Oreochromis niloticus: one gene and its partners. The protein of the gene in region 1 purifies or fractionates together with the protein of each later gene. This does not show direct contact. Links are inferred from orthologs where the notes say so. Each region holds a gene or a part of one and is shown in the gene's direction. Other genes may lie near its edges.

Region 1 (6,943 bases):
ACTATTCCTCGGATTTATTATTCTTCTTATTATTAGACAAGCTTCATATATGTTACCTCATTTTGTGCGGCTGGATCTGGAATGGTGTGCTATGACTTTTGGTGTTTATGACTATTATAGTTTTTTAAATATTAATATTTTAGTGAAAATTTTCCCACGCTCCTCTGCCAAACAGTTTTGACAATAGGGTTACATATGTTACATCATTTTGTGCGGCTGGAGCTGGGCTAGTATGGTATGACTTTTGGTGTTTATGACTTTTATAGTTTTTGAAATATTTAGATTTTAGTACAAATTTAGGCCAATTTCTAGGCTCCTGAGAAAGATTCTGCTTTTGGCACCATAGAAACAGACTTCATTTGTGGTGTGTTGGCTCTCTCTAGTGGTATACCGGGAGTAGTACGGGCTAAAACTTTTATTCTTGTCGGAAAACTCCATATCCCACAATTCATAGCACGCCTCTGCCAGTGAAACAATGGCGGACACCACTTGGATTCTATAATGGTTTTTTTTGGTGTTTCTAGGTCACAAAATAAACTTTTACGATATTTTCAGGCGAGAATGTAGGTGTGTAAACTTCAAATATCTGCTCGTTTTATCAAGACATCCCATATTCTCTTACGTGTTGTTGATAGCCAGCTAGCTAGCGCCGCTAGCCTCTGCCAGTGAAACAATGGCGGACACCACTTGGATTCTATAATGCTTTTTTTCGTGTTTCTAGGTCACAAAATAAACTTTTAAGATATTTTCAGGCGAGAATGTAGGTGTGTAAACTTCAAATATCTGCTCGTTTTATCAAGACATCCCATATTCTCTTACGTGTTGTTGATAGCCGGCTAGCTAGCTAGCGCCGCAAGCTAGCGCCGTTAGCGACCCTTCGTGAAAAAGCACCCAAGTTTGGCTTATAGTGAAGCGGCAGAAAGTCGTGTCAACACCCGATTGCTCGCCAAGGGTCTGTGTTCAGCTGGACTTATTTTTCGTTTATATGGGCCGATGATGCTGGAAACCGAAGGCAGGAGCGTGAGGTGAACTGAATTTCAGGTAAGAAGTTATGAACTGCACTCTATTTGGGTCAGATATAAACCGAGTTTAGGTGTAATTTATTTTCGTTGACCTTTTACAATCGTACTGCCACGGGAGTTTATATACAGCTGTGTGCGCGCTAAGTTACTGACGTTGGACTTTATTTTATTCATAAGGGTTAGTTCATAGAGTCAGAGAAAATATTATGATTTATTCTGTCGTTACGAAGCCTCCCCTGTCATTCTCTCGCGTGTTGAAACGTCAATCATGAAACTGATCAATGATCGGCTGTTCGCTCTTATTTCTCGGGCTAACAACAGCAGCACCTTTAAGCTTGATCAGCTGTTGTTACAATTCTTTTGATTTTAATTTCTAGTATCAGCTGATGTTTGCTGGAGCATGAAGATGAACTCAGGAGATGTCCTTACTGAATCATCAGAGCTGAACTGGTGATGGAGAAACAGGTTTACACTTTAGGTGACATGAATGAGTTGAAGGGAAGTTATGAGTTGTTTCTGAGAGACAAATAAAGACCAGCTAGGGCATTAACAGAGAAAGGTGGACACAAAGATATACTTTTCTTTCTTACTCTCATATAAAATATTTAGCTTTTATTAAATAGTTATCTGAATCTCACAACCAAAGTTTGTATAATAATACACAAGATTGGCTGTAGACCATTGTTCATAATTCAGAACACTGTGTAAAATAACAAAAAACAAAAAGTGAATGCACGGCCGGCTGTGTGGGTAAACCAACCATGTGTGAAAAGTGGTCCATAACGTAATGCTTCAAAGCGTGTTCGTGCAAACATTGTCGGGTCTGCCGTGGTACAATGGGACTTCTGCTCATGAACCTGTGTGCACAGCGTCTGCAAATCGGCGCTGTACAAAGTAACTTCATCTTTACACAAAACTGTAAGCTGTCATCTGTGAAGCGTGAGCGGTGTTTGTTTTTACCATAGTTCATGGTGGAGAATGGCTGCTCTTCTGAGTTTTGCTGTCTGTAGCCGTATGAATGGCAAACTACACTGATTACTAGCGGCATAGGCACACTTAAAATTTCTTCTGAAATTTTCGCTTTCTATTTTCTTATTGTTGCCCAACATTATACCGGTATTACTGTGAACGGTTTGATATGGGCCAGCCCTATTCACAGGTCAGTGTTAAATAGCTGTAACAAACCAACAAAGAAACAAAACAAACCCATTTGAAAATGGTCAGGTATGAGAGAGCTACTGCTCCAGACCATTTTAAAACACGTCTGTCTTCCTGCAAGCAAAAGATCAACAAACCAGGCTGGCTCAACACTTTTTGCATTTATATTTCACTCTCTATAGTTCACAGTCGTGTTGAAACAAACCTTACTGTACACTAAAATGGAGCAGACTGACACACTTTCACCTTCCACGCGTGGATTTGGTGGTGCTCTAATACACAGAGCACCACCATATGTGCAGGCACACAGGCAGGGGCAATCCTAATGTGTTTTCTTTTCTTCATATTCAGTCTATTCAAAATCAAAGGGCAGTTTCACGGACTCAAACACAAGTGAGATTTACAGCTTGTTCCAACACAAGCCAAGCAGCTGCCATTCCACATCAAACTCACCCCACGGTTCAGCAACACCAGGTACCAGCCACACTGGGAGTACCACAGTGGAATTTCCTGGTAACTGGTTCAGCTGGTGGTATGACCCAGTCCTACACATAATCAGGTTTTATGATGTGATAAAAGCTGATACCCTGTTCTAGGTTAACATTTCACTGAGGAAAATGAGTAAGGTCAGTGTTATAAAATGTAACGTCGACAAAACAGACACAGAAGTTTAAAGTTCTTCATTAGTTATTCAAGCTGTCTTCTTGAATACATGTACCAGTTTAATTACTGGTACATGGATAAATGGACTCCTAGGAGACATCCCAGTGAATATTCCAGACTTCACGCTGATTGGGATAAATAACGTACAAAGACATGTATGTGACAGTGCTTACCCATTCGAGGACACGAATAAATCCCAAAGGTTCCTTCAGCGGTCCAAGGTCCAGAGAAAATCCGGCCATTGCTTTCTGTGCACCAAAGACACGCAACCAGGTGTGAACGAAAAGTACCTCTACAAACGGCGATACGTGTTAGTCACCTTGCAGCTAACTGACCCTGCCCTGGTTAAAGCAGCTGCATGCTAACGCTAGCTCACGTCAACTTAGGCACTTTAAAAAACTCACAAACCTGAACAGTGTCCATCGAAGTGTGTAAAAACTAGCAGTTAGTGTCCCGGTACTACTTTTGTCAGTTTGCATGTAAAGCTAACTTCAAGTTGGTCCGTCTGCTTTCTGCCAACGACATAGGAGCTAACAGCAGGGGGCAGTCTCAACTGTGCACGGACCCTACTGTGAAACCGACATAGTACTTCCTGTTTTTACTTTTCAAAATAAAAAGCACACGTTTGAAATCAGAAAGCGATGACTAATTTTTCTTTCAATGTGATTATTAGTTAGCGTTTCTAATGTTGGAGGGAGCGGAAGGTAATGCTGCACAATGCAGTGTGATTTTGACAGTATTTAAAATAAATTGTGTGGATCACAACATAGCCGCGATAGCAGTTTGCACCCTAACTAACTAGATTTGGCCTATCTAAATAGTTCATAATTACTTACGGTGCTTATTTATTTATTTCTACGCCAGACTGTTATTCACTAAGGGTTAGCATAGCAGAATGAATGTCTTTGCTGACATAGCCCCTAGAGAGTGTATAACACTCTTGCTGTAGACGTGATAGAAGTTTTCGAATCTTCGACCTTTCCGTGCGACTTGAACACAGCACGCAGGCCACCCCTTCGTATTTTTATTCCACCGTCGCCATTTTGCTTAAGTCACAGTGCGCTTCTGGTTTTCTTCGAGCAGGCTCGGGTTTTTCTTGCCATATTCTACAAGTTTTCAAATATCTTTTTAAATTTTAAACTGGTAATTCAACACTACATACACTGTTTACATCATATGTATGGCAGTTACATTCACGCGTTATAACACGAACGTGAATACCACGGTAATAAACGGCCGTCTGAACGCTTAGCTCACGATTAGGTCGCTAACCGCCCAAGGTTTCGGTAGGCCTCTGTTATGTACACGAGCTAAAAAAAGTGTTCATCGATTAAGCATAATAATTTAAGAGTTCACATTTTTAAACTAGAGACTAGTTAGCCCGGTTAGCTATAAAGTCATTTTCCTTTCCGACTGGGAGTCACGTAGTTCATTAGCTTTGAGACACTTTTTGTAATTCAACAGTAAGTATATGAATGTTTTCTTGGCTGTCTTGGTCTTTAAATTTATATTTTCCTCGAGTTTGAGATTCGTTATTGTTATCTGAGTGTTTCAGTTTAATTTTTGTTTGTGTCCTAATTAAGATGACGATCATAGTTAAGGCCAATTGTCACTGGCAAGCTAAGGCTTCCGTGTGTAGAGTGAAGAAGCCTCCCAAAACAGTACTTGTAGATTTTCCTGCATGAGACACTAGAAATGTGAAAGTATGTAAGTGTCGAGCAGGCTTGTTTCATGTTGCTGTGTGGAAATGTGTTTGTCCTGTTTGTCTTTCAATAACCAGTGTTCAGTTCCCCGGGCAGTGTTTCTGATGTATTTGTAGGTTTAAACCCATCCTCTTGGCCCTCTTTGGGAATCCCTGGATACGGATAATTTGCCCCCAGTTGATTGGCAGAAGATTTTTTTTTCTCCAGCATTTGGTAATCAAGACATGAAAGTCCTGCAGCGTTTTTCCTCCCAACCTCCAGCATTCAAATGTCACAAAATGTGTAAAATGCCAACAAGCCCAAGAAGAAGCTGAGGATTTTTTTCCCACCAACCACCCCACCTTTCTCATCTTTTTTCCCACATCAGTTAGAGTTTCTTCTATTTTTTCTTGTTCATGCTGTTTATGTCCCCCTACTTATTTATGTCAGTAGCCACACCAAATAGTATCAATGATGATTTACAAGAAATCCCCAAAGGACTTTATTGCATCAGCATCAGTATTGTTTAGCGGTTTGGCAGAGATCAGGATGTCTCAGAAATGGGATGTCGTAGGAAGACTAATGTCTTTGGGAGACCCACCCCACTTTTCCTCTTATCTCATGGATCAAGTGTTCCTTCAGGATTTCCTTACTACTGTGGAGACTCCGTACCAGCTGTGCACTCAAGAGGCAGACCACTTCTCTACTACCTCAGGTAAATGAGCTGCAATGCTTCACACAAAAGCAACATTTTGTTGTTGAAATGTTATAGGCCATCTCACATGAGTACAGGTCAGCTTTACAGATTACTCTCAGTGCAGTTTTTTTGCCTTTTCTACAAATTTGTCAAATTGTTTTTTTTAATTTTTCTTGTGCAGAACATCTTGTTGTTTGTAGGGCTGCCACAAACGATTATTTTGATAGTCGACTAGTCATCGATTATTTTTGCATTAGTCGACTAATCAGATCATGCATCCATTGGACGTAACAGGTACAGCTGATTGCACCAGCAGCATCTGCTCTTATATAACTATCATTAGCTTACAGCTTTGAGTGTTGAAGGTATGTGCTAACTAAAAATAAAGACAAGATGATAGTTTATTAAATTTTAATGACATTTGCAGATTGTTTAGGTGGAGTTTAATAAACCCAGCCTTCTGCTCCTTGCTATCTAAAATATAACAGGACACCGGAGTATATTCTCGAGCATCTCACACTTCTGATAATCAGCTGTCTGCTTGACGTTTATTCAGCTGTGTGAAAACTATAACTTTAATCTCAGCCAAACCGATTTACTCAGGAACAAATAAAATTGTGAAAAAAGCCAAACAATAACATTTTTAAATTACCTAAGTGACTTATGTATCATGTTTAACCTGAGTAGCGAAAGACCGCGGTGGGTTTGAAAATGATTTGCCAGGAGTCCGGTGTTCTCACCGGCTCTAGTGAGCCTTGAACCCCGGCTAGCTATCGAGCTGGTGGGTAACAGACGTCTCTGAAAACGTTGGCGCTCTTTTGAAAATATGTGGTGTCTTGATAAACCAAGCAGATATTTGAAGTTTACACAGCTACATTCTCACCTGAAAATATGTTAAACGTTTATTTTGTGACCCAGAAAGAATAATAAGAGTGATATTAAAACTAACTAGCTGCCGCCATTGTTGGAAACTGATGAATTCTGGGATAGATTGGGCCACGAAGGATACACCCGACCCATCCTTCAAATCTGGGGAAATGAAGGGCGCAATTGTCGGAGTCTTCGAATTTGGACAGTCTTTGTAGTGTCGCTGTAACGTAATTGGCCTACAAATGCGGGCACAGGAGGATGCGGCTCCTGAATTTGGACACAGCTATGATACCGGACACAGCTGCTTCTTCTTCGGAGTGTAACAGCAGCTGGCATCCTTGTACATGCAGTGCTGCCATCTTCTGTTTCAGTCAGTTATTACACTCTTAAATCCTACTACTTATTCCTGCGTCTGTCGGGATCTTACAAAGCTTCAAACGACGCGTCGACTATTAAATTAGTCGTCGACGATTTTGATAGTCGACGTAATCGTGACTAGTCGATGAATCGTGGCAGCCCTAGTTGTTTGACTTGAAATCTAGTTGGTGATGTACAGAGTCTGGGTGAACGTTGTGAGTTGGTGCTTCATAAATAAAATGAACTGAATTAAAAATGGAGTGAAAAAGAAACACTCATTGTGTCATGGGGAGCACTATAACTATATGCTTTAGCAAAAAGGAAAGTTTGAAGCCTAATCTTGAAAGTAGAGATAGTGTCTGTCTCCTGAATCCAAGTGTTAGGAACAACAAGTAAGCCTGTAGTGTGAGAGCGAATTGCTCTAATAGGGTGATATGGTACTACAAGGTCATTAAGATAAGATGGGGCCTGATTATTTAAGACCTTGTATGTGA
Region 2 (7,361 bases), on another chromosome or scaffold:
CAGTCTGTGTTGTGTTTCCTGTTTTACTTTGAAGGTCTCTGTCTTTTCTCAGTGTGTTCAGTTTACGCTTCTTTGTCTCGTTAGTCCTGATTTGCCCCAGCTGTGTTTCCCTCCTGTTGCCCATTCCCTGATTACTCCCTCTGCGTATTTAAGTCCTGTGTTTTCCTGTGCTCTCTGTCGCGTTCTACCGTTTACTTAGCTGTGTGTTCTGTTAGTCCTCTGGTTTAAGTTTATTTTGATTTTTTCCAGTCATGTTATGTTACCCCTTTTTGAGTTTAGTATTAAAGCTGTTTTGAGTTCACCTTTGGTCTCCGGAGTCTGCACCTTGGGTCCTATTCCTGTCTGCACACAGCCTGCACTTAACAGAAGAACGCGACCATACTATGGACCCAGCAGACTCTGTTTGGTATCGGCGACCCGCAGTTTCTGCCTTCCTCAAGGAGAGCGTGAGGCAGGAGGCTAAGCATGCCCAGGAGCTCCAGTCACCCTTCTATGGGTCTCGTTTGGCTTTCGGAGGGCCCCGCAGCCTCCAAACTGCCATGGCCATGGCCGAGCCGGCGCCTATGCCTCGGGCGATCAGATTGAGCACGTGCTCATTCTCTCCAGTCGCTACACCTCCGCCTCCACCCCTGGATTACCAGTCCGACAAGAAGGTTAAGCGGCGGAGGAAGAGGGATTACGTGACGCCGGACGTTAGACTCACTCCGCTGCAATCCTTCGCTCTGTTTTTGGGTCTGCCACGTTCTGAGCTTCACAAACTCTCTGCTTCCTCGTCGCAGCCCGGTCTTTTGGAGGGTTCGCAGCCCAGTTTGCCACCTCCCACTTCCCGGAGAAAGCGACGTTCACGCAGTCGCCACTCTGTCTCTGCTGAGCCACTCCCCGTGGTGAGTTATAATGACTGTTTTCATTCTGCTCCCTCTAAGCTGGAAAAAGACAATCATATGAACACTGCTAAAACTGAGACTGTTAAGACTATTACACATGGTGGTGGTAGGAAGCTAAAAAACATTTTAGAGGATTCTGTGTTTTCTGACCCTGCTCCTTCGCCCAGTTGTGTTCCTGCTCCCAGGGCGGCTCGGGCCCAGCATTCCCCTGCACCTGTTTCAGTGCTTCAGGTGAGGGAGGCTGAGGTCCAGCTGGTCCCTGCTCCGGTGCCTGTCGCGGCACCCGTACCTTCTCCTCGGGTGGGAGAGGCCGGTATCCGGCAGGTACCTGCACCTGTTTCTGACCTCGCTGGAGGCTCAGGTGAGCCCGTCCAGCGATTTTCTTCAGGTTCTGGAGGCTCAGGGGAACTAGCTCAGCTTACTGCTAATCCACCACCTAACCCACCATTACTACCATCGTTACAACAGTCAATAGAACTTAAACTTCTATCCATAGCTCGAACATTAGCTCACCTATCGGCTCAGTCACCTGCTCAGTTTTCACCTCAGTCGTTTACTCAGCCGTTTATTCCTGCTGGAGGGTCCGAGGGACCGCTCCAGCCTTTGTTCGTCTCCGCTGGAGGGTCTGAGGGGTCCGTCCAGCCTTCTGTTCCCACTGGGGGTTCTGGAGAACCGCGCCAGCCTTTGTTCGTCTCCGCTGGAGGGTCCGAGCGGCCCGTCCAGCCTTCTGCCTCCGCTGGAGGGTCCGAGCGGCCCGTCCAGCCTTCTGCCTCCGCTGGAGGGTCCGAGCGGCCCGTCCAGCCTTCTGCCTCCGCTGGAGGGTCCGAAGGGCCCGTCCAGCCTTCATCGCCACCACCTGCGGCTCCCACGCCGTCACTTGGTCCAGCTACGGCTACGGCTTCGTCCTCGCCTGGTCCAGCTACGGCTTCAGCTCCGCCGTTGTCTGGTCCAGCTTCAGCATCGCCTGCAGCGTCACCCTCGCCCGGTCCGGCCTCCGAGTCTTCGCCTTCGCCGTCACCCTTGCCCGGTCCGGCCTCCGAGTCTTCGCCTTCGCCGTCACCCTTGCCCGGTCCGGCCTCCGAGTCTTCGCCTTCGCCCGGTCCGGCCTCCGAGTCTTCGCCTTCGCCCGGTCCGGCCTCCGAGTCTTCGCCTTCGCCCGGTCCGGCCTCCGAGTCTTCGCCTTCGCCCGGTCCGGCCTCCGAGTCTTCGCCTTCGCCCGGTCCGGCCTCCGAGTCTTCGCCTTCGCCCGGTCTGGCCTCGGCTACAGCTTCGCTTGGTCCTGCCTCGGCCACGCCGACGTCCGGACCACATCCTGCGCCTCTACAGCGCCGGCCTCCTTCCAGGCCTCTGATTACGCGTCCTGGTCCTGCTCGTCCTGCTCGTCCTGCACGTCCTGTCCGGCCTGCTCGTCCTTTCTGGCTGCTTTCCAAGCCGATGATTGGGCATCCTCGCCATCGTGGACGGCCTCCTGACCTGCTCCGTCGCCGCCGGTGCCTCCCGCCCGGCCGGCCTCCTGACCTGCTCCGTCGCCGCCGGTGCCTCCCGCCCGGCCGGCCCCCTGAACTTTTTTCTGGACTCTTGGGTCGTCGTCCTCCGGGCCGGCCCCCTGAACTTTGTGACCTGTTTTTCCTGGCCGCCTGTGTGTTTTGTTATGTTGCTTTCTGGGCTCCGTTGTTTGCGGGGTTTTTTTTGTTTTTTGTTTTTTTTGTTTCTGGCTCCTTGTTTGGTTTGTTTCGAGCCCTCCGTCCTGTTTCCCCCACCGCCCGCCCTGGTTGGGTTGTTTTTCGTTTTTGGTGATTCTGGTTTGGGCTGTCTGGAAGCCAGCCCTTAAGGGGGGGGTACTGTTAGGAGGCCTGGGTCGTTGACCCAGGGTTTTTGAGTTTGTTATATTATTTATAATTTCTAGTCTTTGGTTTCTTTGAGTTCTGTCTTATGGTTTTTGTCTGTCGTCTCTAGTTGCTGTCTCCCCTGTCAGCTGTATCCCCTTGTCTAGTTCGCTTCTCTGTGTATCCTTAGTTGCTATATCCCCGTGTCCAGTCAGTCTGTGTCTATAAGCTCAGTCTGTGTTGTGTTTCCTGTTTTACTTTGAAGGTCTCTGTCTTTTCTCAGTGTGTTCAGTTTACGCTTCTTTGTCTCGTTAGTCCTGATTTGCCCCAGCTGTTTCCCTCCTGTTGCCCATTCCCTGATTACTCCCTCTGCGTATTTAAGCCCTGTGTTTTCCTGTGCTCTCTGTCGCGTTCTACCGTTTACTTAGCTGTGTGTTCTGTTAGTCCTCTGGTTTAAGTTTATTTTGATTTTTTCCAGTCATGTTATGTTACCCCTTTTTGAGTTTAGTATTAAAGCTGTTTTGAGTTCACCTTTGGTCTCCGGAGTCTGCACCTTGGGTCCTATTCCTGTCTGCACACAGCCTGCACTTAACAAAGTCCTCATGTTTTTAAATCAACTATTTGCTCCATACGTGTGACATTATGTTTTGTATTAAAAAACATGCTGCTAAACAAACTGAGGTAAACTAACTGTTATTTAAAGGTGACATGAAAATCCTCTGTATGTTAGTGCAGGATCTGTACTGTGATGGATTTAAAATAAAGAACAGTGTGTGACTGTTGTACAGTGGCTGCGGTTTCATGGTCAGTTAGGTTACATCAAGTTTAGCAGAGATGAATCTGAAGCTAAGCTCATGATCCTGAGATTCATTCACTGAATTCCATCTTTATACCAGCTTTATACTGTCTAATATAAAGACAGTATAAACAGTTTGCTGTCAGTGTAGAGGACTGAAGTCAGCCAGGAGAACTTTTGAGACATCTGCTGACATCTTGTTGAATTCAGTTGTTTAAATCCACAAAGAGCAGGATGTCAGCTGATCACAGCCTGTACACTAAGAAAATCTAGTGGAGCTCTCAATAGTGGGTTAGGGTTAGCCCACAATGAGTCAGCTGACTTTTAGGGTTCCTCCGCCTGCTGAATCCGCTTTAACCCCTTGCCTACACATTTTCCTGTTTAGAGGCAAAGTCATCCTCTTCAATGTAGGCAACAGAAAATAGAGCTGTTTTTGTTTTCGTATTTTTTCTCTGCCGATGTTTTAACCACTTCAAGCTGAGTTACCTTCATTGGGATTAAAATTTAGACTGAAATCACCTGCTTTGGATGTTAGTGTTCCTATCTACTAATATTATTTCATTATTAGATTTATATTGCCCGAGGATCAGTTAGCTTTGCATTAAAATGGGTGGTTTGAAGATTTAAGGCAGATTTGAGGGCAAAAGGGGGTCTAACCTGCTAATGAGTTGTATTTAGTTGGTTTTCAATTAAGTTTAATTCAGTTGCATGTATATACCGCTAAATCACAGCAACAGCTGCCTCAAGGCGATTTATACCGTAAGGTATAAGACCCTGCAATAATACAACCATCACACCGTGGGCTCTGTACGTGCACACGCCTGCAGGGTGTCAGCCGCAGCGGTGGGCGGCGCTGTGACAAACCGAGTGAGAGAGGAGGAGCTGAGAAGGAGAGCAGCTCCGGTTTGATTTGCGGAAGTAAACACATCAACAAAGAAAGATGGCCGAAGTGATAGAGCTGCAGAAGCTTAAGGTTGGTATTTCCCTAAAATATGCACTTTATAACCCGCATTTAGTCGTTTTTTAAAGATAAAGATAGCTTTTAACCGGAGTTAGATGCAGGACCGGAGGTCGGGGTTACGTTAATTAACCGTTTTGAAGAACAAAATGACGTCCGGCTGAGAAGGCGAACACCCGGCATGTGTTCAAAGAGCTAACGGCGGGCTAACGTTAGAATGCATCGGCTAAGGAGAGGGAAAAAACATTAAATATGAAATTACTGTAAAATAACAAATATTGTCATATACAGAGTCACCTACTGTCTCTGAACGTTAACAGCAAGCTAATTTGGCTAAGGCTAGCCCAACATTGGCTCGTAAAAGTGCAGCTCAGTTTACTCGGTCTCTGACTCTACACTCACAACTGTCCTAAAATGCTGCCGCCAGGCTTTTTGCCCAAAGCAAACTTATATCAAACGCTTCACAGGGAGTTTAGGGTTATATTTTTTTTTTTTTAATTTATTATTTGTTTTTTTAACTGTCCGCACTTGTTTGGCGTCTCTCGATAAGTGAAAGGATAACTCGCGCCGGGAATTTGACTCCATCTCAGGCCACACAACATAAAGATGAGCAGTATGTGTAAACTCTGTGTGTTTGTGGCATTTAGTTTAGTTATCCCCAAAATGTTGGGAGATTCCTGAGTCACAGAAGCCGAAACATTAAACACGACTTACAACAAAGAAATGAAGTAAATTATTAAGATAAATAAAATAGCTCACATCACACGAGGGGAGCGACAGGAAGAGGGGAAATGAAACTAAAGAAGCCAGTTAGTAAAAATATAATATTTGAACGAAGGTAAAGCTTTTCTGTCCGAGTGTGGTCTGGATCTATTTGTTATCTGTGTCCACACTGATAGGTTTGTAGTTTAAACCTATTCGCTGGAACGTTCAAGGCAATTTACTACACAGCAAAAACAAGACACAAGTAGGCAAAGTTCTTTGTAGTACTCATGCATGAGGGAGGCCTGCCTGGAGCCAAGTGTCGTTCCACCCACTTGACCTCCGTCAGACTCTCAGCCAGGTTCCCCATAGCACTCCTTTTATTGTGGTTACATGAATATGCATAGGTTCATTAACATATAACATCTTACATAGGTATACATGTGAACAAAGAATACCTTGTGTGTGTGTGGGGGGGGGTCAAGATGTGACCCCTTGAAGACTCCCCAAAGCTGGTGCCAGGAGTCTAGCGGTACATCTGAACAAAAGGCCCTTACACTCAAACAGATATACGTATGTTTGCTATACTATATATCAGCAAGAGAAGATACGACCTCTCCTAGGAGGTGTGTGATCCATGCCAGAACACTCTGAAGAGGAGTGAATGCACTCCCCTCTTCATGCTACACAGAGTTGTTACAGACCTCCTAGGATGAGACATTCTTTCATATGCCATCAACTATATACTTATAAACACAAATGATTACATGTTTCTCAATACAAATGACAATAATAAAATATAAACCCAACACACACGTTTAGATGATCTGTGCGTCAGCTGATGGAGGAATCCAAGTAGTGTTTTTGATTCAGACTGTATTCAAACTCCAAGGGCAGTGATGGAAAACGATTATCTGAAAACTAATGCAGAGTAGCTTTCAGGAAAGAAAAACACCAGCGTGCATTTCATTACATTAAAGGTGCTGAAAAGGTGCTATAGGGGGAAAAAAATTAGGTGGATAACTTGTTACTGAAATTAATTTAAAAAGCAAACAACACAGATTTCTTTACTTAAATGGGTTTCTAATGTGATTTAATCCAATGAATTTCATATGTGATTGTTGTGTTTTCATATTTGTGTGTGGGCTGGAGACATCTGATTTTGACTACCCTAACTAATAGTTAGGGGTGTTTTCATTCTGTTGTTTTTCTGGGACTTTTTCAAGAATAACAAGAAAGTTGTCACAGCACTTATTAACCTGCTGTTTCTGCAGGCAGTCATATACCTGTGATGCAGCCTAGCCAAGACTTGTTTTCCTCAACAGAACTGGTCTTCAGTTCCATCCCCCTAATGAAAGCAAGATCGGTCCACATAAAAAGGGTTATTCTACATTACTGACATGGAGAATGAGAATTACTCATTCCTCTTTATACTTCTTTGAAGTCTGACTGAAGGGCACGTTAGTAGTAGCTGCACTGTAGGCTAGTTCCTCACAAAAAAATGACAGGTACTCAAACGTCTGCACTAAGACTGATGCTCACCAACTGATGATGAAGTTTATCTTTTGCTGACCCTCACATATTCTTTGACCTGCAAATTTGTCACATCCACATAACAGAAGTAATAGTGGTATGTGTACCTAAATAGTAAATGGTCTGTGTTAGATGGATTAATGACCAAAAATGTCAGGTTTAAGTAAATGAACTCTGGTTTTTTATTTGTAGCTTGCTGAACTGAGGCAGGAATGCGATGCCCGAGGTTTGGAGACCAAGGGAAACAAAGGGGAGCTCATCGCCCGACTCCAGGCTTATCTGGAGGAACACGGTGAGGAACAATACTTTTCTTATTGTCACTCATTTAGCTCGCGCACACACACACACAAACATTTCATTTACCTCCCTAAATAAAGGGCTTAAAATCCAGCCCCGTGAAACGTGAGAGAAGAGTCGTTTATGTCTGAAACTATATAGAGAGCTAAAACAGAGCTTTTCCATATTTGCTAGATCAACTTTGATTTTGTTTCCAACCCAACATTATGCATGATTTTGAATAAAAGAAATGCTGAAAAGCGTTGTAATGGTTAAACACAGAATTATCATACCTGATTTTGCTGATGGTTCATTATGCTTATTGCTTAATGCTAAACAGAGTATACCGTGAGCGACACTCACCACTAAAGAATGTCTGACTTTTC
Region 3 (7,026 bases), on another chromosome or scaffold:
GAATTTCATAGCCAGTAAAACCGGAGATAAGTTTTTATTTCAGTTGCAAACGGCTGCTTTCTGTATTAGAGTCACAGTCACACTGTGTAGATACCTAGAGCTTTTATTGTGAAAGGCGAGGACAGGAAGAAGCCATTTGTGTCAAACAAATCAGGATTCCATTACTGGACATCACTTCTTCCATTTCAGAGGGCGATGCGAGGGAGGAGCGTCTCCATGGAGACCATGTCGAGGGGCGGGGCTGGACTGCCCACCAGTTTGAGTGGGGGGGGTCTGGCACACCTGAACGTGGAGGTGAGTTGTTCTGCAGGTAACTGAAGGAGCAGGTTGAACCCCGCTCGTCTGTGAGCGGCTGTAACACCTGGACTCTTTGCGTTGGCAGTGTAACGTCAAGTCTCCCGTGAAGCGGCGCTCGGGACTTTTTCCTCGCCTGCTGAGCGTCGACAGCCAAACAGAGAAGCACAGCCAGCGGAGGTAACGCTGCCCAACGCTCTCCTGTCTCTCAGTTTGTTTACCTGGACAATAAAGTTCAAACCCACCAGTGTGCATGTCAGCACTGCTGCACAGGTGGGGGCACACCTTCAGGAGAGCCAGTCTCAGCAGGTGTGCTGCGTGTTACTGAGCTAACAGCTCTTACCTGCTTTCAGGACATTAACCCCGCCTCCTCCTGTCTCTGTTACGCCTCCTCAGCCTCCCCGGTGAGCAGAGGAGCTTCGACGGATGCCACCCGATGCTGGAGGTGAGGCCGGAGCTGCCGTCCAATCCTAGCACTCCGGAGGCGGGGCAGCGGGACAGGTGTGTGCAGCAGAAGCAGCAACAGTAAGAAATGAAAGAAGCAGATGTTTCAGTTTTCACTGCGAAACAATAAACTTCATCACTTTTTTACTTTTATCGGCAGGATTCACACGAAGAAGGAGAGCAGTAAGATTTCCAGGTCGACATCCAGCACCTGCAGCTTCAGCATCCCAGCTGACGACACACACCTGGTGAGACAGGTGAAAACACACTTAAACCATCTGTTGGGTCAGCGTTATATTCAGCTCAGTGTTATTTAGGGCGCCTTGTATTGTAATGCAGACCCTCATCAATGCGTCCTCCCTCTGTGTCTCTACGTGTATAGGCTGCGACGGTAGAAGGTCAGAGTTCAGCTCCGGTCATCGTGTGCCGCAGCCCCACAGGTGCGACGCCCGCTCACCGCCAGCGTTTCTGTTCTGGAGCCGTTCTCACGTCTCGTTTGCTCTCTCCTCTCTCAGAGCTGAAAAACAAGAACTCGCCCAGATCCAACCTGAAATTTCGCTTCGACAAGCTCAGCCACTCCGCCGCAGTAAGTCTGTGTGACAGCCAATCAGCAGGCTCGCTGTTTACCTGAATATGCGGAGCAGCTGATTGGGCTGCACGCCTCCAGGACGTCACTGCTTTTTGTTATTTTGTTCAGTGTGATTTTTCAAGTATTTTCTGTGTAATCTGATTACTGAGTGTGAAACCTTCCTTCTGTCTGCAGCAGGGACACTGAGCTGACAGGACGCCGCTGACAGGTGTGTGCTTTCCCAGAAGTCCGATTTTAAATTCCATTTTTCAAAGTGCTGCTTCTGTCACTCTGTTCTGCTTCTGAGTCTACTTCCTGCTTTATTTTGAAAGTTAGTTCCTCCTGTAGCGTCTCGTGTTTTACTTCCTGTCTTGGTTGGCGTTCTCGCCCTGGCGCTTGTCTTGGGTGGCTCGTGTTCACACTTTCTGGGCCATGATGTGAGCGACTCTCTGAGCTGGGTTTGATGTGTTCCTCTTTCTCTCGCTGCTTTCCAGAATAAAAGCCTGAAGCTTCAAACAGACGGCAGTCTCCACACAGGAGGAGGAGGAGGAGGAGGAGGAGGAGCAGGAGCAGGAGGAGGAGAGTCTCCTGATGGACCACCACACACACATACTTGTCTTTCTGTCTTTGTGAGGACCCCAAGTGCAGCTCTCCTGTTTCTGTCTGTTTTTTTCTTCTCATCTTCTGCACAAACCATAAAATCATTTCTGAACAGGACACTGAACACGTAGTTCTTTTTAAACCGTCCTACAGTCAAGTTCGACCCACAGAGCTCTCCCTGTTTTGCGCTTCTTTCAGTGTAAGATGTAAAGAGGAGGCTCGCTCGTTCCCTAGAAACTTTATTTATCACAGAAACACCAGGGGGCGCTGCAGAGAGGGGCTGAGATTCCACCCAAAGGACCAGGACCCGAGCAGCTAAGCTTCCCTGAGGGGCAGCGGTTAATGCCCCTCTCCCCAAACACCGCTGAGGTGCTCCCATCCAGCTGGGAGATGTCCTCTCTGCGGGGGTCCAATCATTTCAACCAAAACAAGAAAAACAAAAACAGCACAGCAGCTCAAAGTTTGGGGATTCACTCATATCAGAGGCAACCACAAGAACTGCAACTACCCGCCCCCTGTCTCCCTGTTAGATGACTGGTCCTGAGTGCTGTTTAGTCTTTTTGTCAGCCGGCACGGTGCTGGTCCCCCCGAAGGTTCCTGGTCCTGGAGGAGAGTTCCTGCGGTGGATGCGAGGCCTTTACAGGCCTAAAGTTTGTCGTTGGGTCGTGACTCTGATGGTTTCTCAACACAGACACAGGAAGGCGAGCGCATGCACTCAGGTTAAAAAGGACGGAAATACAGGAAACACGTTAACTGCTGGAGCTGCTCGGTCTGCGCGTCCATGCTGAGCTCTGTGGGATTTATTCTTATTAATAACAAATAATAACACGTGGCTGTGGGTTCAGATTCAGACACGTTAGAGACAGACGCTGCCGTTCTCCTCACACATTACAACGTCGTGAGCTCAACCTGAACCTTTTTTAAACTGCAACCAAATCAGTTTCACTCCTGCTGCAGGAGTCGCAGTGTGATGATCTGCAGCACACAGGGTCTGAGCGACGGGGGTCAGGTGGGCGGTGCTGCAGGTGAGTCAGAGAGGTGGAGCTGCTGGAGGTCAGGGAGAAGAACAAGAAGCGCTGTGATTGGTCTGATGATGGGGTCTGAAGCTTCGCTCTCCCTCTCTGAGAGACGTTCGCACTAATCACGCCAAGTCTCCAGGTCACTCACTCCACTGGAAGCTGCACAGCTGCAGGAGTTCAGCTTTTCAAAATAAAAGATGATGCAGCATGAACACAAAGATGTCTGCGCAGTTTTCTGATGTCATAAAGTGTGTGTGTGTGTGTGTGTTGTAAAACCTGTAAAACTGAACATTTCACAAATAAAAATCAGCTTCTTTCAGTGTTTGTTGTTGTTTTTGTCGTTTCATTTTCTCCCAACTTTTTTTTAAATTTTTTTTTTTTACTGAAGACCCGCTTCATCTGCAGACGTCATTTTTCATACTAACCAGCAGCTACAAACTGCCTCAGAACCAGATGCTGGTTAAAGTTCAAAACATTAAAAAAGTTGATTGTTCTTTTGTAAAAGAACCAAAACTAACAAGGAATTATTGACTAGCTGTTCTTCTTATTTCGTGTTCGTGTTTATTTGTGCATTAGTATGTCTCAGTATCGGTTATGAAACAATTAAAGCAAATAAATATGAAACTTTATAAATAAGAGAAAGAAAAGTTATTGTTTAAATAACGGGATGAATAAACGTTTTTATACTGCGTTTTCATTACTTTCCATTTCCGTTACAGCCTTGTGTTTATGTATTTATTTATTTATTGTAATTCTGACAATGTTATCTTGATTACCTGTTTATTAATTACTTTGTACTTTTTTGTTTAGATTTTTCAGACATTGTGCAGTACACTTCAGCCCTGTTATACTTAGGGCTGTTTACATTTACACATTTATTAAAAACATTGGTTTACATGTTTTAATATATCGTCTGTGACGCTGTTAAAGTGTCTGTTATTCAGCACCGCCCTCTGCTGAGCATGACATCATGTTTTACCTTTAATAACCGCAGGGGGCGGAAGAGCTCCGGCGCGCCGCCTGCAGGCCGCAGAAGAAGTCGTAGGTACCGTTTCCGGGTCAGCCAAGAGCCGCAGCGCTAGAGGCCGTTGTTCGCTGCTGGGTTAGCACCATGGCGGCAGTACGCAGCTTGCGGGTCTCGGTGAAATCAGACAGCGGCTCCGACCGCTCGGACTCGGACTCCGAGTCGGACAGAGATGCCCGCGAAGCCGAGCCGATGGAGGTGGAGGAGGGAGAGCTGGACCCCGAGGACATCTCCGTTAACCGCTCTCTGAAGGAGCTGCTGCCGGTAAGCCCGGACTAGGCCCCGGCACTCCGGGGACTGGCGTCTCCGTCGCCCGGCAGATCCGCGGGAAGTGTCGGCTAGCGGTTACTTGGACTCCCGGCTCTCTCCCGGGAGTCAGCCGCCCCCCTCCCTCCGCGCTGTAGGGGCTGCCGATGAGCGGCGGGGGCCTCGCGTTAACCGGGCTGGTTTACGTTTTCGACATGTTTGCGGGGTTCGTGTTTATTTCAGTCACTTGTTGCTGTGTTCACGTGCTGTTTGTGTGGAGCGCACGTCCCACCAAACTCTATTTAAAAAACATCGAATTTAAGATGTTTACGTGTAATAAAAAAAAAGAAAAAGCAGAGACCGCAGAGTGCTCATTTTCCGCAACTATTTCAGCAGGTATGCGCATACCGAACAGTTCTGCTTTCTTCTAAGCGTGAACCTGGATTTCATTATTCTTCCTTTGTTATTTACTCTTCCTGCTAGTGTAGAGCGTCCCTGCCACCAAACCTCATCTAAAACTAGGAAGTTTGACGTTTTTACGTGCAGAGAAATGCAAAACGGGTGAAGTTATTCGATTTGAATGCATGCACACTTAGTAGTTTTTATACCTTCGCGGGTGTTTCCTCTCCCTGCTAGCACACCAACAGTATCCAGAGCAGTTTATCAGCTGGAGAAATGAAGGTTTTCTTCTTGTGTGAAAGTCACATTAGAGTTGAGTCTTTACTGTGGAGGCCTGTGTGGCTGCTGCTGTGGACTTCATACAGCCTGTGTTTCCCATGTGTTTACAGTCACTTTGTAATGTTGCTGAAGCAAACAAACAGAAACGGCTCAAAGAGAAAGTGAAACCGTGGCTCACTGCTGTCTGTCTGTTTCACAGGACACCAGTCGGCGGTATGAGAACAAGGCTGGAGCCTTCATCACTGGAATCGACGTCAACTCTAAGGTAAACCATCAGAGAGTGTGTGTGTGTGTGTGTGGGCGTTAGGCTGCCACTTTAAAGTGTTTCTCACTGTGGGCGATGTTAGTGAAGTACATGCAAGAGTCTCTGAGCGCCTGTAGGGTCAGGACTCATGTGAGTGACCTTTCCAAAGGTCACCATGACCTGATGATATCAGGTAAAGAGTGATAGCTGAGTGGGAAGCTCAGGGTTCAAACTCCTCTGAATACTCGACTTATTTCCTTTTTCTTCCTCATCAGGAGGCGATCGAGAGGAAAGAGAAGCGAGCGCAGCGTTTCCATTTCCACGGGGAGGAGAAGATCGGCCAGCGGAACGTTTTCCTGGATAAAGACGCCATGAAGAAAGGTACGTGTCCTCCATGACTGTCAGCAGGCAGAGCCAACCTTTTCCTGATGAGGAGCTCGTTTAACATGTCGTCGTCTTCTTCTTCTGTGGTGCCCAGCCATCCCCCAGCTGCGCATGGAGGCAATCCATGTGATGGGCGTGGACGACATGAGCACGCAGGACGTCTTCGGGTACTTTAAAGAGTATCCTCCGGCTCACATCGAGTGGATCGACGACACTTCCTGTGAGTACGGCATGCAGACAGAAGAGCCCGGCTGCGGAGCTCATGAAGCTACTGCACGGGGCGGGGCATGTGACTCTCCCAGCCAATCACAGCTCAGGTCAAACCCTGTTCTCACCACCTGATGGTTTCCTAGGTAACGTGGTTTGGCTGGATGACGACACCCCCATTCGGGCGCTTATCAACACCAGCCGGATGCCTGACTCGGAGGCTGTTACCACGGAGACGGGAGGCACCAGCCAGCCGGGCGAGCAGAGCAAAGGTGAGTTCGAGTACTGTAGGGGAAACCACCAGAAGCCTCAGGGCATTGTGGGTAAATGTTACGATGTCGCAGGTCGGCGAGGTCAAGGGTCAGATGACGAGGACGATGAAGAGGAGGAGGGCGAGGTAGACGAAGGTGAAGAGGAAACGGCGAAGAAGCGCAGCGAGGAGATTGAGGGGAGAGACAGCGACGCAGAGACAAAGACGAAATCTGAGAGCGGACAGGTAGGACGCCACCTGACCAATCATCAGGTTTACTGACCAGTGCCCAAAAGTGATCGATGATGTCATCGGCTGTGTGCGCGCAGGCCGACCTGTCGCGGGCGGAGAGAGCATCCCTGCTGAGGAACGACCTACGGCCCGCCATCAAACCCTTCAAAGGAAACAAGCTGCTGCTGCGCTTCGCCACGCAAGGTGACACACACACACACTCACACACGCACAAGCCCATTCAGCTATCTTAGTGAGGACCTTCATTGACATAATGGTTTCCCTGCCCTCTTACCCTAACCCAGGGGTCAGCAACCTTTTACACCCAAAGAGCCACTTGGACCCGGTTTCCACGCAAAAGAAAACACTGGGAGCCGCAAATACTTTTTGACATCTAAAATGAAGATAACACTGTATATATTGTTTGTTTTATCTTTGTGCTTTGTGTAAACAACTAAAGTAAGTAAGTAAAGTTTATTTATTAAGCACTTTTCACAGACAGGCAGTCACAAAGCGCTGTACACAAATATTAAAATAAACACTACAATCAATAGACATTATACACAATGTAAAAGATCTAATGTAAATAATGTAAAGAATATAAAATACGTAGATCAACAAAAGGCTTGTTTGAACAGAAAGGTTTTTAACTGCTTTTTAAAAGAATCCACAGAGAAACTAAGGTGTGCTGCTTATGAAATCCATGAAGTGCTACAGAGAAAATTACATTTTATTTATGTAATTAACACATTTTGAACTCTTAAAAAAATATAACAAAAGGAAAGACACCCAGTTGAACTAAAATGATCCATGTAGCAAACAAAAACTGTTGTCAGC

Evidence for each region.
Region 2: the proteins of zc3h11a (region 1) and sarnp purify together in Homo sapiens (affinity purification with mass spectrometry; 3 studies listed by BioGRID and IntAct, counting the BioPlex papers as one, with this or other methods). This does not show direct contact. The link is inferred for Oreochromis niloticus from reciprocal best matches to the Homo sapiens genes ZC3H11A and SARNP.
Region 3: the proteins of zc3h11a (region 1) and ncbp3 purify together in Homo sapiens (co-immunoprecipitation; 3 studies listed by BioGRID and IntAct, with this or other methods). This does not show direct contact. The link is inferred for Oreochromis niloticus from reciprocal best matches to the Homo sapiens genes ZC3H11A and NCBP3.

Annotation. Positions count from the first base shown.
Region 1 is NC_031970.2:39,571,492-39,578,434, forward strand, and holds the start of zc3h11a (zinc finger CCCH domain-containing protein 11A), read left to right. Parts: upstream 1-3,869; 5' UTR 3,870-3,986; exon of another isoform or gene 3,987-4,306; intron 4,307-5,167; 5' UTR 5,168-5,240; intron 5,241-6,943. Other genes in the region: sypl2a (synaptophysin-like protein 2a), read right to left, coding at 3,017-3,091, 3,252-3,266. UniProt on the Homo sapiens protein: Through its association with TREX complex components, may participate in the export and post-transcriptional coordination of selected mRNA transcripts, including those required to maintain the metabolic processes in embryonic cells.
Region 2 is NC_031984.2:6,848,623-6,855,983, reverse strand, and holds the start of sarnp (SAP domain-containing ribonucleoprotein), read left to right. Parts: upstream 1-4,325; 5' UTR 4,326-4,446; coding exon 4,447-4,479; intron 4,480-6,891; coding exon 6,892-6,991; intron 6,992-7,361. UniProt on the Homo sapiens protein: Binds both single-stranded and double-stranded DNA with higher affinity for the single-stranded form. Specifically binds to scaffold/matrix attachment region DNA. Also binds single-stranded RNA. Enhances RNA unwinding activity of DDX39A.
Region 3 is NC_031975.2:32,673,597-32,680,622, forward strand, and holds the start of ncbp3 (nuclear cap-binding protein subunit 3), read left to right. Parts: upstream 1-3,946; 5' UTR 3,947-4,036; coding exon 4,037-4,213; intron 4,214-5,072; coding exon 5,073-5,138; intron 5,139-5,392; coding exon 5,393-5,498; intron 5,499-5,595; coding exon 5,596-5,721; intron 5,722-5,854; coding exon 5,855-5,980; intron 5,981-6,052; coding exon 6,053-6,204; intron 6,205-6,287; coding exon 6,288-6,393; intron 6,394-7,026. Other genes in the region: rap1 GTPase-activating protein 2, read left to right, coding at 190-294, 383-474, 691-819, 899-995, 1,121-1,178, 1,254-1,324, 1,502-1,513. UniProt on the Homo sapiens protein: Associates with NCBP1/CBP80 to form an alternative cap-binding complex (CBC) which plays a key role in mRNA export. NCBP3 serves as adapter protein linking the capped RNAs (m7GpppG-capped RNA) to NCBP1/CBP80.